3 linked regions of the Macaca mulatta genome follow. The protein of the gene in region 2 interacts with the protein of the main gene of each other region in a biochemical or structural test. Links are inferred from orthologs where the notes say so. Each region holds a gene or a part of one and is shown on either strand. Other genes may lie near its edges. The genes, in order: CD46, JAG1 and NOTCH2.

The links.
Region 1: the proteins of JAG1 (region 2) and CD46 form a complex in vitro, tested with the Homo sapiens proteins (2 studies listed by IntAct, with this or other methods). The link is inferred for Macaca mulatta from reciprocal best matches to the Homo sapiens genes JAG1 and CD46.
Region 3: the proteins of JAG1 (region 2) and NOTCH2 form a complex in vitro, tested with the Homo sapiens proteins (2 studies listed by BioGRID). The link is inferred for Macaca mulatta from reciprocal best matches to the Homo sapiens genes JAG1 and NOTCH2.

Annotation. Positions count from the first base shown.
Region 1 is NC_133406.1:65,496,680-65,500,910, forward strand, and holds the start of CD46 (membrane cofactor protein), read left to right. Parts: upstream 1-1,289; 5' UTR 1,290-1,436; coding exon 1,437-1,533; intron 1,534-4,231. UniProt on the Homo sapiens protein: Acts as a cofactor for complement factor I, a serine protease which protects autologous cells against complement-mediated injury by cleaving C3b and C4b deposited on host tissue.
Region 2 is NC_133415.1:73,377,067-73,380,713, forward strand, and holds part of JAG1 (protein jagged-1), read left to right. Parts: intron 1-392; coding exon 393-506; intron 507-998; coding exon 999-1,112; intron 1,113-1,211; coding exon 1,212-1,325; intron 1,326-1,487; coding exon 1,488-1,604; intron 1,605-2,077; coding exon 2,078-2,105; intron 2,106-2,591; coding exon 2,592-2,677; intron 2,678-3,647. UniProt on the Homo sapiens protein: Ligand for multiple Notch receptors and involved in the mediation of Notch signaling. May be involved in cell-fate decisions during hematopoiesis. Seems to be involved in early and late stages of mammalian cardiovascular development.
Region 3 is NC_133406.1:120,370,048-120,373,694, reverse strand, and holds part of NOTCH2 (neurogenic locus notch homolog protein 2), read right to left. Parts: coding exon 3,569-3,647; intron 2,943-3,568; coding exon 2,641-2,942; intron 1,881-2,640; coding exon 1,733-1,880; intron 1,078-1,732; coding exon 980-1,077; intron 68-979; coding exon 1-67. UniProt on the Homo sapiens protein: Functions as a receptor for membrane-bound ligands Jagged-1 (JAG1), Jagged-2 (JAG2) and Delta-1 (DLL1) to regulate cell-fate determination.

The sequences.
Region 1 (4,231 bases), on a different chromosome or scaffold from region 2:
CAGTTTCTCATATTTGCTATTCTTTTGCAATATTTGCTGCATAGAATTCCATCACACAAAGCTAACTACCAGAAATTCCTTATTACTTTTGCTAGACACTTAGGGTTTACATTTTTTAAAATTTATAAATCTTTGATCACAGCTCTGATGATTTCTCTGGGAACTGATAGCCTAACAGAACTCATGTCCACTTTAAGACTTTTAACATTCTGAAAAATTGTATTACAAACAGAGCGCTGGTCTCCCTGCAACACGTTCACTCACACTGGCTGAGGTTTTAATTCTTTGCCAGTCTGAGAGGAAGAAATGCCAACTCTTTGTTTGCTCTTGTAATGCCAGTCATGTCCCTTTTTTTCCTGTTACCAGTCATACCGGTTTACTACTCAGAACCCTACAAATCAATCCTGCTCATTCTTAATTTTCCGATATTCTTCCTAAGATTGTTTCACCAGAAAACTTCTCCCCCTTATCCACTCTTCACCTAACAATTTCTACCCACCCCAATCCTCCTGCATTCATTGCTTCCAACTGGCACGTAGGACACCCTTGGTCTTACGTTGTTTATGCATGTGTATTTCGTCTTCAATAAAACATTCAGTTGCTCAAGGGCAAGGGCCCCATAGAGTCTCAATATGCTAACGGCCTGGTGTTGCCTAATAATTTAGATTCTGAGGGGTCCTCTCCAGGGAGGGGAGCAAAGAGCAAATTATCTTAGGGGCTGGGAGTGCAGAAGTCAAACCTTTGAGATTGTGAAAACAAGACGGCCCCGAGAAGATTCAGTAGCAGGTATTCAAGCAGGAAAAACTCACATATTGTTTCTAATAATGCCTGACTAATGCAAAATACCAAATAAGGGCCCAGGCAGTCCAGACGGCCTGCAGGGCCCCAGGATAAAACTAACCCTGAGGGGTGCTGGCCCACGGTGACCCCCTGCCTGGACTCTGGATCTCTGTTTTTACGTCGAAGTGCTTTATTCTTGATTCTCGAGTTCCCGGAAACGATGACCAAAGCAGCTTAGTTTTCCACCCTTCCTTGGTCACAAATATGACGATGAGGCAGCCCTTTCCCGCACGACGCCTCAGGGTTCCGGGATGGTCAGCCAAAAGTTTACCAAGAAAAGAGGCGGGTCCGGGAAGCCAGGGCAGATAGGCCCCGCCAGGGCCACGCCCTGTCTCCTCGAAGGCCAACGGCTGCCTCTGAGCCCCGAGGCCCGACCCCACAGCCCGCCGATTGGTCCCAGCCTCCCTCGTGAGTCGACTGACTTCCGCCCCCGGCGCGGTTCAGGCCACGCCCACCTGTTCTGCGGCCCTAGATACTTTGTGAGTTGGTGATTGTTGCGTACCATAGCCGGACTCAGAAGGGGCTTCCCTGCTCGGCTGGCTCTCGGTTTCTCTGCTCTCCCTCCGGAAAAATAGCGGCGTCTTCCGCATCGCGCCATGGCTTCTTCCGGCCGCCGCGAGCGTCCCTTTTCTTCCGGTCGGTTTCCTGGGTTGCTTTTGGCTACCCTCGTGTTGCAGCTATCCTCCTTCTCCGGTAGGACCCCGGGGCGAGTTCGCGCGTCCGCGGCGAGGCTAGAGCTCTGCGCAGTCAGTCGGGCAGGAGGCGCGGGGCGGGGCTCACTGCACGTCGTGCCTGCCTGGGATAGAGAGCGAGGCCAGGGTTCTCCGAGGGGTGTAGTGCTCAGATCCCGGGGGTATGTGGCGGGGATTGCGGGGACCACGCAGAGCCCGAGGTGAAGCTTGTTTCGGGGCGTGGTGTGCGCGGCCGGCATTTACGCAGGATCTGGCTGTGTCCCCTTCAAAAGCGTGAACAGTGTTTTCGGGATTGAGCCCTGTCGACAAGGGGAGTGCGGACTGCGCGCCCCAGGTGAGGGCTTGCTCTGGAGTGCACAGGTGCGTGGGAGTGTTGCTAGGGCCCGTGCTGTGCCCGTGGTGAGAGTTTGCCCTGTGTTCCCTTGGTGCCTTGGTGAGTGGAGTGTTCATTAGGGCTTGGACAGTACCCGCGGTAAGGGTTGCAGTGCGTCTGCTGTGCCCCATGTGCTGGACTGGGCTGGGCGAGAGGGGCCTGGCCAGGTGTTGCTGGGAGCCTGTTGTGCGCAAGTGGCCTGTGTGCGGAGTTCACTGTGGGCAAGACAGCTAGCTCACTGTTTGCTTTGAATGGAGTGAGCGCGGACGCTGGGGCTGGGGAGGGCATATTGGGTGAGAGGAGGCTCTCAGTGCCTGGTGTTAGAGAGGTGGTAAGGGCGCGCCATGCTTTTTGTGCCTTCTGTGAACAGACTTCTGTGTTGCCTGAGCTCCTATTAGTTTTTAAATGGCTGCTTTTTTGGGGGTGGGTGGACCATCGAGTCATTTTCCTGTTCCCAACCAATAGAGACAGTATCTGATTCCATTACCTAATGGATTTTTGACATTGTTTTCCTTCTTTTCATTAGAGTCATATTTGAGAGATGTGAAGCAACCTAAAAAACACTGGTAACCAAGCCTAGTGAGAAATTAGTATCCTAACAAAGGAAGGCAAATAATGTTAATCTTGTTTTCCCCTACAGCTCATAAACTAAAGCTTAAGGCCTATCCCACTAAATTTGTATTGTATTTCATTGAATGGAATCAGTAATTTTAAAAATGCATGCTAGGCCAGGCGCAGTGACTGACGCCTGTGATCCCAGCAGTTTGGGAAGCCCAGGCGGGGTGATTGCTTGTGCCCAGGAGTTCGAGATCAACGTGGGTAACATGGCAAAACCCCATCTGTACAAAAAATACAAAAATTAGCGGGGCATGGTGGTGTGTGCCCGTGGTCCCAGCTACTCTGGGGGCTGAGGTAGGAGATTCGCTTGAGCTCAGGAGGTGAAGGCTGCAGTGAGCTGTGATCATGCCACTGCACTCTAACCTGGATGACAGAGTGAGACCCTGTCAAAACAAAACAAAACAAAACAAACCGCTAAGAAATACATGCTTATTGTATGACACGAACAGAATCAAAAGACACTATTTTTAATATTTTGGTATATTTCTTTCTGACTTTATGTGCGCTTCATGTGTATCTATGTCCAAATTATATTTAGGATCTAATAACGTATAGTTTCTGTGTTGCATTTTTTTCCTTAGGAGCATTTGCTCAACGAATATGGGTTTTGTATGTCTATTGCTATTACACTGGTAGGCAATAACAAACCATTCCTATTTTCTTGATCCTTTTTTCACTATTGGTTTACACACACGTTCATGCAGGAAGATAAGCAGAGACTTTGTTTTGCTCGATGCTAAGTGCTCAGTGCCGGGAACACAGTAGGTAACCAATCAATTATTTGCTACAATGTATTGGGAGTGGCAGACATTAACCAAAACTTAATAGTAACAAATAAATTATGAACCAAGGGAAGTTCTCTGGAGGAAAGGCGTATAATTTTCAGATATAAATCTGACAGCATTTAACAGATGTCTCGAGGGAGGGAAGGCTTTTCTGCTCATCAAACAGACTTTGGGGCATCTGTGCTTGCTGTTCCCTCAGCCTGGGAACACTCTCCTCCTGACCTGCTGCAGAAACAGGCTTGCTCTTCTGCAAAGTCAGCTGGAAGGTTATGCCCTAGGAGACCTTCTCTGAACGCGCCCCCACAACGTCCCCGCCCCCACAACGTCCCCGCCCCCACAACGTCCCCGCCCCCACAACGTCCCCGCCCCCACAGCGTCCCCGCCCCCACAACGTCCCCGCCCCCACAACGTCCCCGCCCCCACAACGTCCCCGCCCCCACAACGTCCCCGCCCCCACAACGTCCCCCATCTCAGGTTGAACATACAACCCGGTTCAAGTCCCTCTTCACTTGTAATCACCCTTTTAAAATGACCTTTTCTGTTCTTTGTCTCTCCCTGTTAGAATGCAGGGATCCTGCCTGTGTTGTCAATACTTGTGGTTCCAAAAGCCCCATTTGTTTGCCTCCATATCTGTTAAATACCAGAAAATTAAATATACTATTCGGCTGGGGATTAGAGCCTAGGAAAAAGCTCCTCCTGCCTCCAAGAGGAAGGTTGTTTAAAGAGCTCTGCTCAGGATGGTCTTTCTGTGGTACCTAAAAAGCTAGGGCAGGGGCAGCTGAGGGCCAGAAAGGATCTGTCTCCCCTGTTTGTGTTAACTTTGCAGAGCTTCCGGTACTTCAGTCTTGCATCTCACTGATCATTAAAACGTTCATTTTGAAGGAGGGTGATGGGAGTAGGGAGCAGTGGTGATAAGAAAACGA
Region 2 (3,647 bases):
GCTGGGGAAGACCGGTCGAGGCTTATCTTTACATCTGGATCTAAGACTGAGGTCGTGTTCAATTTACCAGATCACTCTGCCTCGGAGCCTCCATATCTATGTTGGAACATTCTGGAATGTTGCTAGGTTGGGTGGTTCCTCTTTAGGAGTTTCTTCCCCACTTTCACCAAGTACAGGTGACTGAATGCCCATGTGAGGGCATTAAGTGGGTAAGGCACTCTGGAAGTTTCTGCTTGATAAGCCGCCTAATTTGAGAAACAGCCCTGATGGAGGGTGGCAGGTGGAGGTGCCAGGTGCATTGTGTCAGGAGGGAGCCATGAAAACTGCCGAACAGTGCTTGTCTATGGCTTCACTTGTCCTTCAGCTCTTTTTTTTTTTGCTTTGTTTGGTAGATATTAATGACTGTGAGAGCAACCCCTGTAGAAACGGTGGTACTTGCATCGATGGTGTCAACTCCTACAAGTGCATCTGTAGTGACGGCTGGGAGGGGGCCTACTGTGAAACCAGTGAGTCTGCCACTGTTTGGGGAGCTCTGGGATGTATGGGTCATATTGGAGGGATCCCACTTCAACGTGGGAAATCTTTCTTTGTCCTGGAAATCTCTGGAAGCAAGACCCCAGTGATTTCTGCAATAGGACAGTATCACTTGTGTCTCATTTGCGTTTGAGTACTGATGACAGCTTATGGGGAGGAATTTCTGCTGAGGAGCTATAGAATTAGACTGTGTAACAAATATTCCTGCTTGCAAGGAAAGTCATATTTCTACTTTAATTTCCATGGGACTTCCAGAGGCCCACCCCACATCTTGCCTAACTTGTGGCATTCAAAGTAACCTGGTTGGGAGCTCCTTTATTCCTGGAAAAGCCTGATTGTGTTAAAGTACTACGGCTGTTCTCAGAATAGGGTGTTGGATGTAGCAGTAGGAAAGGCTTGGCTCTCGCCTGTCGTGAGTGGTCCTGGACTTGGTCTTCAGCCGATTGTCTCCTCTTTGATTCTAGATATTAATGACTGCAGCCAGAACCCCTGCCACAATGGGGGCACGTGTCGCGACCTGGTCAACGACTTCTACTGTGACTGTAAAAACGGGTGGAAAGGAAAGACCTGCCACTCACGTAAGTGGTAGTTGGCCTTGGATGCTATCTCTGAGACCCTTCCCTCTGTCTCCTGTGGGAGGGGGCCACTGGGACTCACACTGAGATATTTTCCTCCAGGTGACAGTCAGTGTGACGAGGCCACGTGCAACAACGGTGGCACCTGCTATGATGAGGGGGATGCTTTTAAGTGCATGTGTCCTGGCGGCTGGGAAGGAACCACCTGTAACATAGGTAACTTTCTGCCCCACGTGGGATCTGCAGTGGGCATGGCCACCTGGGTGTGTCTGCTGGTTGGCCCCTGGAGCTTATGATATTTCTCTGGGCCTGGTTCTTGCCCCTCCAGACTGTTTCTGGATACTCAGGGAGGGTGGTCGTGTCTGCTCTTCTTTATAGCCCGAAACAGTAGCTGCCTGCCCAACCCCTGCCATAATGGGGGCACATGTGTGGTCAACGGCGAGTCCTTTACGTGCGTCTGCAAGGAAGGCTGGGAGGGGCCCATCTGTGCTCAGAGTGAGTGTCCTCCCCCTTGAACTCTCCCAGGGCTGTCGGAGCAGATCCTGACACCCTTGGGGACTTGCAATGGAAACCAGAAGCAGAGCTGTTTGATGTCTGCTTTTGTATCACCTGGGTCTGCATTAATGACTTGATGGGATACAGCCCTGACCTGGGCATGAGAAAGTCGCCAATGAGATAAGTGGAGACAGATGGCGTCTCAGTTCCCAGCTCTGGGTCTGACCAGCAGCCTGTCTCCTTCCATTCTCACCCCCACCCCTATCCCCTACCAGGGCCTCTTCCTGCGTACATGTGTCCCACAGCAAAACTAAGTGTGGTGCGGGCCTGGTTCCAATTTAGCGAAGGTATTTTGCTGGTGTTAACTACGACTTTATCATTTGGGTATTAAGGAAATAAGTGGTGGTTTTACTTAGGGCTAAGACCGCTTTCCCTTTTGAAGGCCTCACTATTAAGTTGTCTTTTCTTTGCAGATACCAATGACTGCAGCCCTCATCCCTGGTAAGTGTGACATCCTTTTAAGCCAGCACTCATCCAGTATCGTGTGTGTGTGTGTGTGTGTGTGCGTGTGTGTGTGAATCACCCAGGGATCGTGTGTAAAATGCAAGTTCTGAGTCAGGAGATCTGGGGTGGGGCTTCAGACTGCTTTTCTAACAAGCTCCCAGGTGAAGCGATCCTGCTGCTCCACGGACCACACTTTAATTAGCCAGCTTGTGTCCTCATTTAGAGCAGTGATTTTTCAACCTTGGCTGCACACCAGAATCACCTGGGAGCTTTTAAAAATCCCATTGCCTGGGCTGCAACCAAGACCTACGAAATTAGACTTTCTGGGGGTGGGACCCAGGCATCAGTATTCTTTAAAGCTCCCCAGGCAATAGCCATGGGGTGAGAGCCACTGACTGTAACTGGTGTGGTGACATGCGAGTGACTGGCAGCCAGAGTCATGGACTGGGAGGTTGGTAACCAAGGCGGTCTTTGCTTTCTCAGTTACAACAGCGGCACCTGTGTGGATGGAGACAACTGGTACCGGTGCGAATGTGCCCCGGGTTTTGCCGGACCTGACTGCAGAATAAGTAAGGACTGTCCCTGTCTGATTTTCCCAATGGCTTTACCCCTTCATTCCATACCTCAGCCCGAGACTTTCATCTTTAAAAACAAAGCCACCATTCCGTTTAAGTAGCTCTCAGAGAGCAAGGATCTCCCTCTTCCAGCTGGGATTAAGATATCCCAGGCTGGATCCTCCCAGGTACCTGCTGGTGGTTCCCTGGGTGGTGTCGCCCTCCTTGTTCTTGGGGAGAGAGTGCCAGCCACAGAATCTGATGATTACACTGGGGTCCTGAAGAAAGTGTGTGCATTTCCCCGTGACTAACATGAAATTATGGGCAAGCAGACATTAACCGCAGCTACACTGGTATAGGATAGAGCTAATACAAATGGAAGGGAGGACGACTGTGGCTTCCAGAGGCTTGTCTCTGCTGGGTCTGATCAGGCCCTGGAGAAATGACTAAAATAGGAAAATACGGGCAGGCAATGCAGTTTTTCAAGAAGTTTAAAACGTATTATTTCGAGCCTTTTCTCTAATTTTTTTTTTACAAGCCCTTTCTCTTACAGAACAAAAAAAGGTGCTAGAGTAGTTATGGTTTGATTCTTGTACCCAAATTGTCTGAAATTTTACTGGTGCTTGAAATCCAAGTCTGGGATTAACTAGTCTTCAGCACTAGATGGGGGCAGGTTGTATCTGTTTCATGTTTCTAAATAAACAGTTGGCAAACTGTGGCCTAGGGGCTGTATCCAGCCCACTGTCTGTTTTTATACATACAGTTTTCTTGGCATAGAGCCACACATTCATTTACGTATTGTCTATGGCTACTTTCATGATACCACAAGAGTTGAATAGTTGTGACAGAGACTATATACTCCACAAAGCCCGGCGTGTTTACCGTCTGACCCTTTCCAGGAAACTTTGCCAGGCTTGCTGTAAATTGCACTGTCAGAGAAAGGAATCAAATTAAAAATTGCTGCCTCCCAAAATGGTTCTCCGCT
Region 3 (3,647 bases), on a different chromosome or scaffold from region 2:
GGTCTAACAGGATCTTGGCTGCTTCATAGCTCCCCTCCCGGGCAGCAAGAAACAGCGGTGTCTCTTCCTACAGAAAAGGCCCATCACAGAACACGTTAACACTCTTGAGAATATAGCAGTTTTTCTCAGTCTTTCTTATTATCACCCCCTTAGACATGTTTTCCTAATTATCTCCCCGATGAAATATTAACATCACAGATAGGCTGTGCCTCTACCAGTGTACTGAATGTATATCTGTGATTTATACACAAAAAGAGTAAGATTATTTCACCTCTCCTCAAAAAACAATTTTGCACCTTAGGAGGAACATCTCTTTAGTTGGGAATTCATAAAATAAAGCATGCCCCTGAGCCAGAGACTCACTTAAAAGAGTACTGAGCTTATCAAAATAAGGTTCTAATAGGAAAAGGAGTTAGAAATAAGAAAGGTAGGAAGAGAAAAAACTAAGGCATGCACAGGACTGGGAAAAATAAGGGAAACAGTGAAAGAAAGAAGAGACAAAACGTGCAAGAAAGGACTAAGATGAGGAAAATGAAGAAAACTGAGAGAAGATGAATGACAGAAGGAAGCAGGACAAAAAACTCAGACGGAGAAAAATCAAACAGGAAAACATCAGGGTATCCAAGGATAGAAAAAGCAGCAGCAGGAGGGAAAAAAGAAAGAAAACAAGAGAAAAAGAAGTGACTATGAACAGAAGAGACAGCTGGAGAAAAGGAATGTCAGGGAGAGAAAAGGTTACACCAAGCTATCTATAGCCAGCCTACTGCAAGCTGAATACTGAGAGGGAAAAGAACTCCATCCTGACACATGCCTGGACAAGCCCTATATTCTCATCAAGCTCTCCAAACCCAGTGTCTGCCCAAACTGCTTCCATCTTTGTCTATACATATCACAAGAGAAGCTGTAAGGAGAAATGGGAAGGGGCTTATAACTGAGGCACTGCTATGAGCCTCCTTAAACTCAGAGCCACAAATTGTACCTTGTTGTCCTGCATGTCTCGGTTAGCCCCATTTTTCAACAGCAAAAGAGTCGCCTCCACATTATTGACAGCAGCTGCCCAGTGAAGGGCAGATTTTCCTGAAGGGGAGAAACATTTTTATAAACAGACATATCATACTCTTAGTAAAAAACACCATGACTTGTACAACGAAACTTTAAATTCCCCAGAGATCAGCAGGAAGCAGTTCTCTGTAGGGGTCTATAGGAAAAACCAAAGTAATCTCTTCCTTTTCCTCTGTTCTAGAAATACTTCAGTACAGGCTGCCTAGCCTGCAGAAGACCTCTAGGTGAAAGGATCACTTGTATGAGGTATTCATGTCCCCTACATGGCAGAATCTACCCTGTTACATACTGAAGACAAAAACCTATGTATTACATGTCAGAATTTATATTGAGAATATTCCACAACTCTCCTAGAGAAGTCAGCTCTCATAAATCCTCAAATCAAGAGTGGTATGCCTAGGAAACTACATGGGAACACCTTTCATGTATCTGCTCTGAGGTCCAAGAACCCTCATTAAAAATCCCTCATTTTAATTAGGGATCTCCTACTGGCTTGGATCTCTGAGTTCAGCATGTTAAAGGAAGAATGAATAAATGCATGAATGAAAGAATGAGTGAATCTCCCATGTATATGAATCTCAGACAGTTCTTTAAGGGTCATGTAACCATTCCCCCTCCTCAGAGGCATGCTTTGCAGGTAAGAATCCAAATCCCTGCCTTTCATCCCTACCATGGTCATCCACTGCATTCACATCTGCTTGGCAGTTGATCAGTTCTGCCACCATTCCCTCCACAGCCAGGCGGGCAGCCAGGATCAGGGGTGTAGTACCATCATTCATCCTGGCATCTAGATCAGTTACTCGGTTGCGAATCAGAATCTAGAAGAGGAGAAAATACAGAAAAGAGAGTCACCTGGATAAAGGAAAATAATGAAACTCAGTGAAGAAACAAGGGCATCAGAGCTGAGGCTACACTGTAGGTTCCCAGAGGGGAGGGAAAGTCTTGTTATCTTTGTGCCCAAGATTCTATCGTCATCAATCAATAAATAGTTGTTGATTGAATAAATAAACAAATACGTGCTCAATAAATAATGGCTGATGTAAAGTGAAGAGCCTTCTACTTCCTCAGGAAAGAAGAGGGATGTGGGGAAATATCACAACTTCAGTCAGTCTACAGTCTAAGGTGATTCAGAATGCTTCCGATTTCCTCGTAAGGATAAACAGGCATCAGGGAATATAATAGGAACTCAGGTCAAGAAAACTGCCAATGAGCAGCTGGAAGCCCATACAGTCAGGCCAATCCGTAAGCAGTAGTGGATACAAGTCAAAGGCTCCAGAACAGGTATCACTCTCATCTAATCTATGCATTTGGGAAGCATCTTGGCACAACAAATTATCACTAATAATCAGAAAGACTGCTGTTGTCTGCAGTTGGCTCTATCACTATCTTCCTATATAGAGCTGGGTCAGTTTGCCTGTCTCCCTTCCCACTTTCCCATCTAGCAGGCATGACTCTAATACCTGCCCTAATCTCTCAAATGATTGAATAAATTCAATGAGATATTAGTTCCTTAAAAAAGATAAAACTGTACAGAGCCATAGGAATTATTATTCAAGTGACTCTTCTCATGTTCTTTACCTGGAAGACACCTTGGGCATCAGCTGCCACTGCAGCATGGAGGGGGCAGCGGCCCATGTTGTCCTGGGCATTGGCATCTGCACCTGCATCCAGGAGACGCTTGGCAGCATCAGCCCGTGAGTAGCGGGCTGCAAGGTGCAGGGCCATCTCACCAGTCCGGTCCGTCTGGGCCTGGAGGCTGGCACCTTGGTAGACCAAGTCTGTGATGATGTTAGCAGAAGAGTCCTCTGCATCTTCATCTTCATCACTCAAATCTGAGCTGCCTCCTCGGAGAGAAGCCAACATTAATGGGGTGCAGCCATCTGTAGGAATGGAAAATTCCATAAAGTACTCAAGAAGGAGAAGGCAGTTAACCCTATCTTCAGCTTGAAACAGCTCTATTTTAGTTACTCTTAGGGGCAAAGAATTCCCTGCACTTCTTGTAGTAACTGGTTATTAGTTTCACATTTGCTACGTTTTCCTCTGATAACATCGTTTCTGTAAAGAATAATGGGAAAGTACAAGTCTTTTTAAGCTGGGGGTTCTTCTCTAAGTAAAACAAGTTTTTCTGTTCAAGTTTAAGTGATATGTTATTTTAATTGGACATTTAAAAATATGTAATATTAATAGAGCAATTGATATATTCATAAGGTATTAACTAACTATCCTCTGCTTTGGGATATTATTTTTCTATCCTACTACAATCTAACCCATTTTATCAGCCTGTTTAGTCTCAACACACTGTTCGTGAAGCAATGTGAAATCCTTCCCTTTCTGAGTTGATAATTTCTTCATGGCTACATTTCTTAAGCATTCATTTCCTCAAGCTGATTTACAGTCTGTGAAATTGGGAAGGGGTATATGGCTGGATGGGGCAAACACAGGGACAGCAATGTGGAACCATGGGCAGACACAGCCCAGTGAAGAGGGGAAGAGGCCGGGTGCTGACCTGGGCCCCGGACATTCACATCCAACACATCCACCTCCTGCTCTGCCTGAGGAGGGGTGAGGGCCAGCGATGGTGTCCT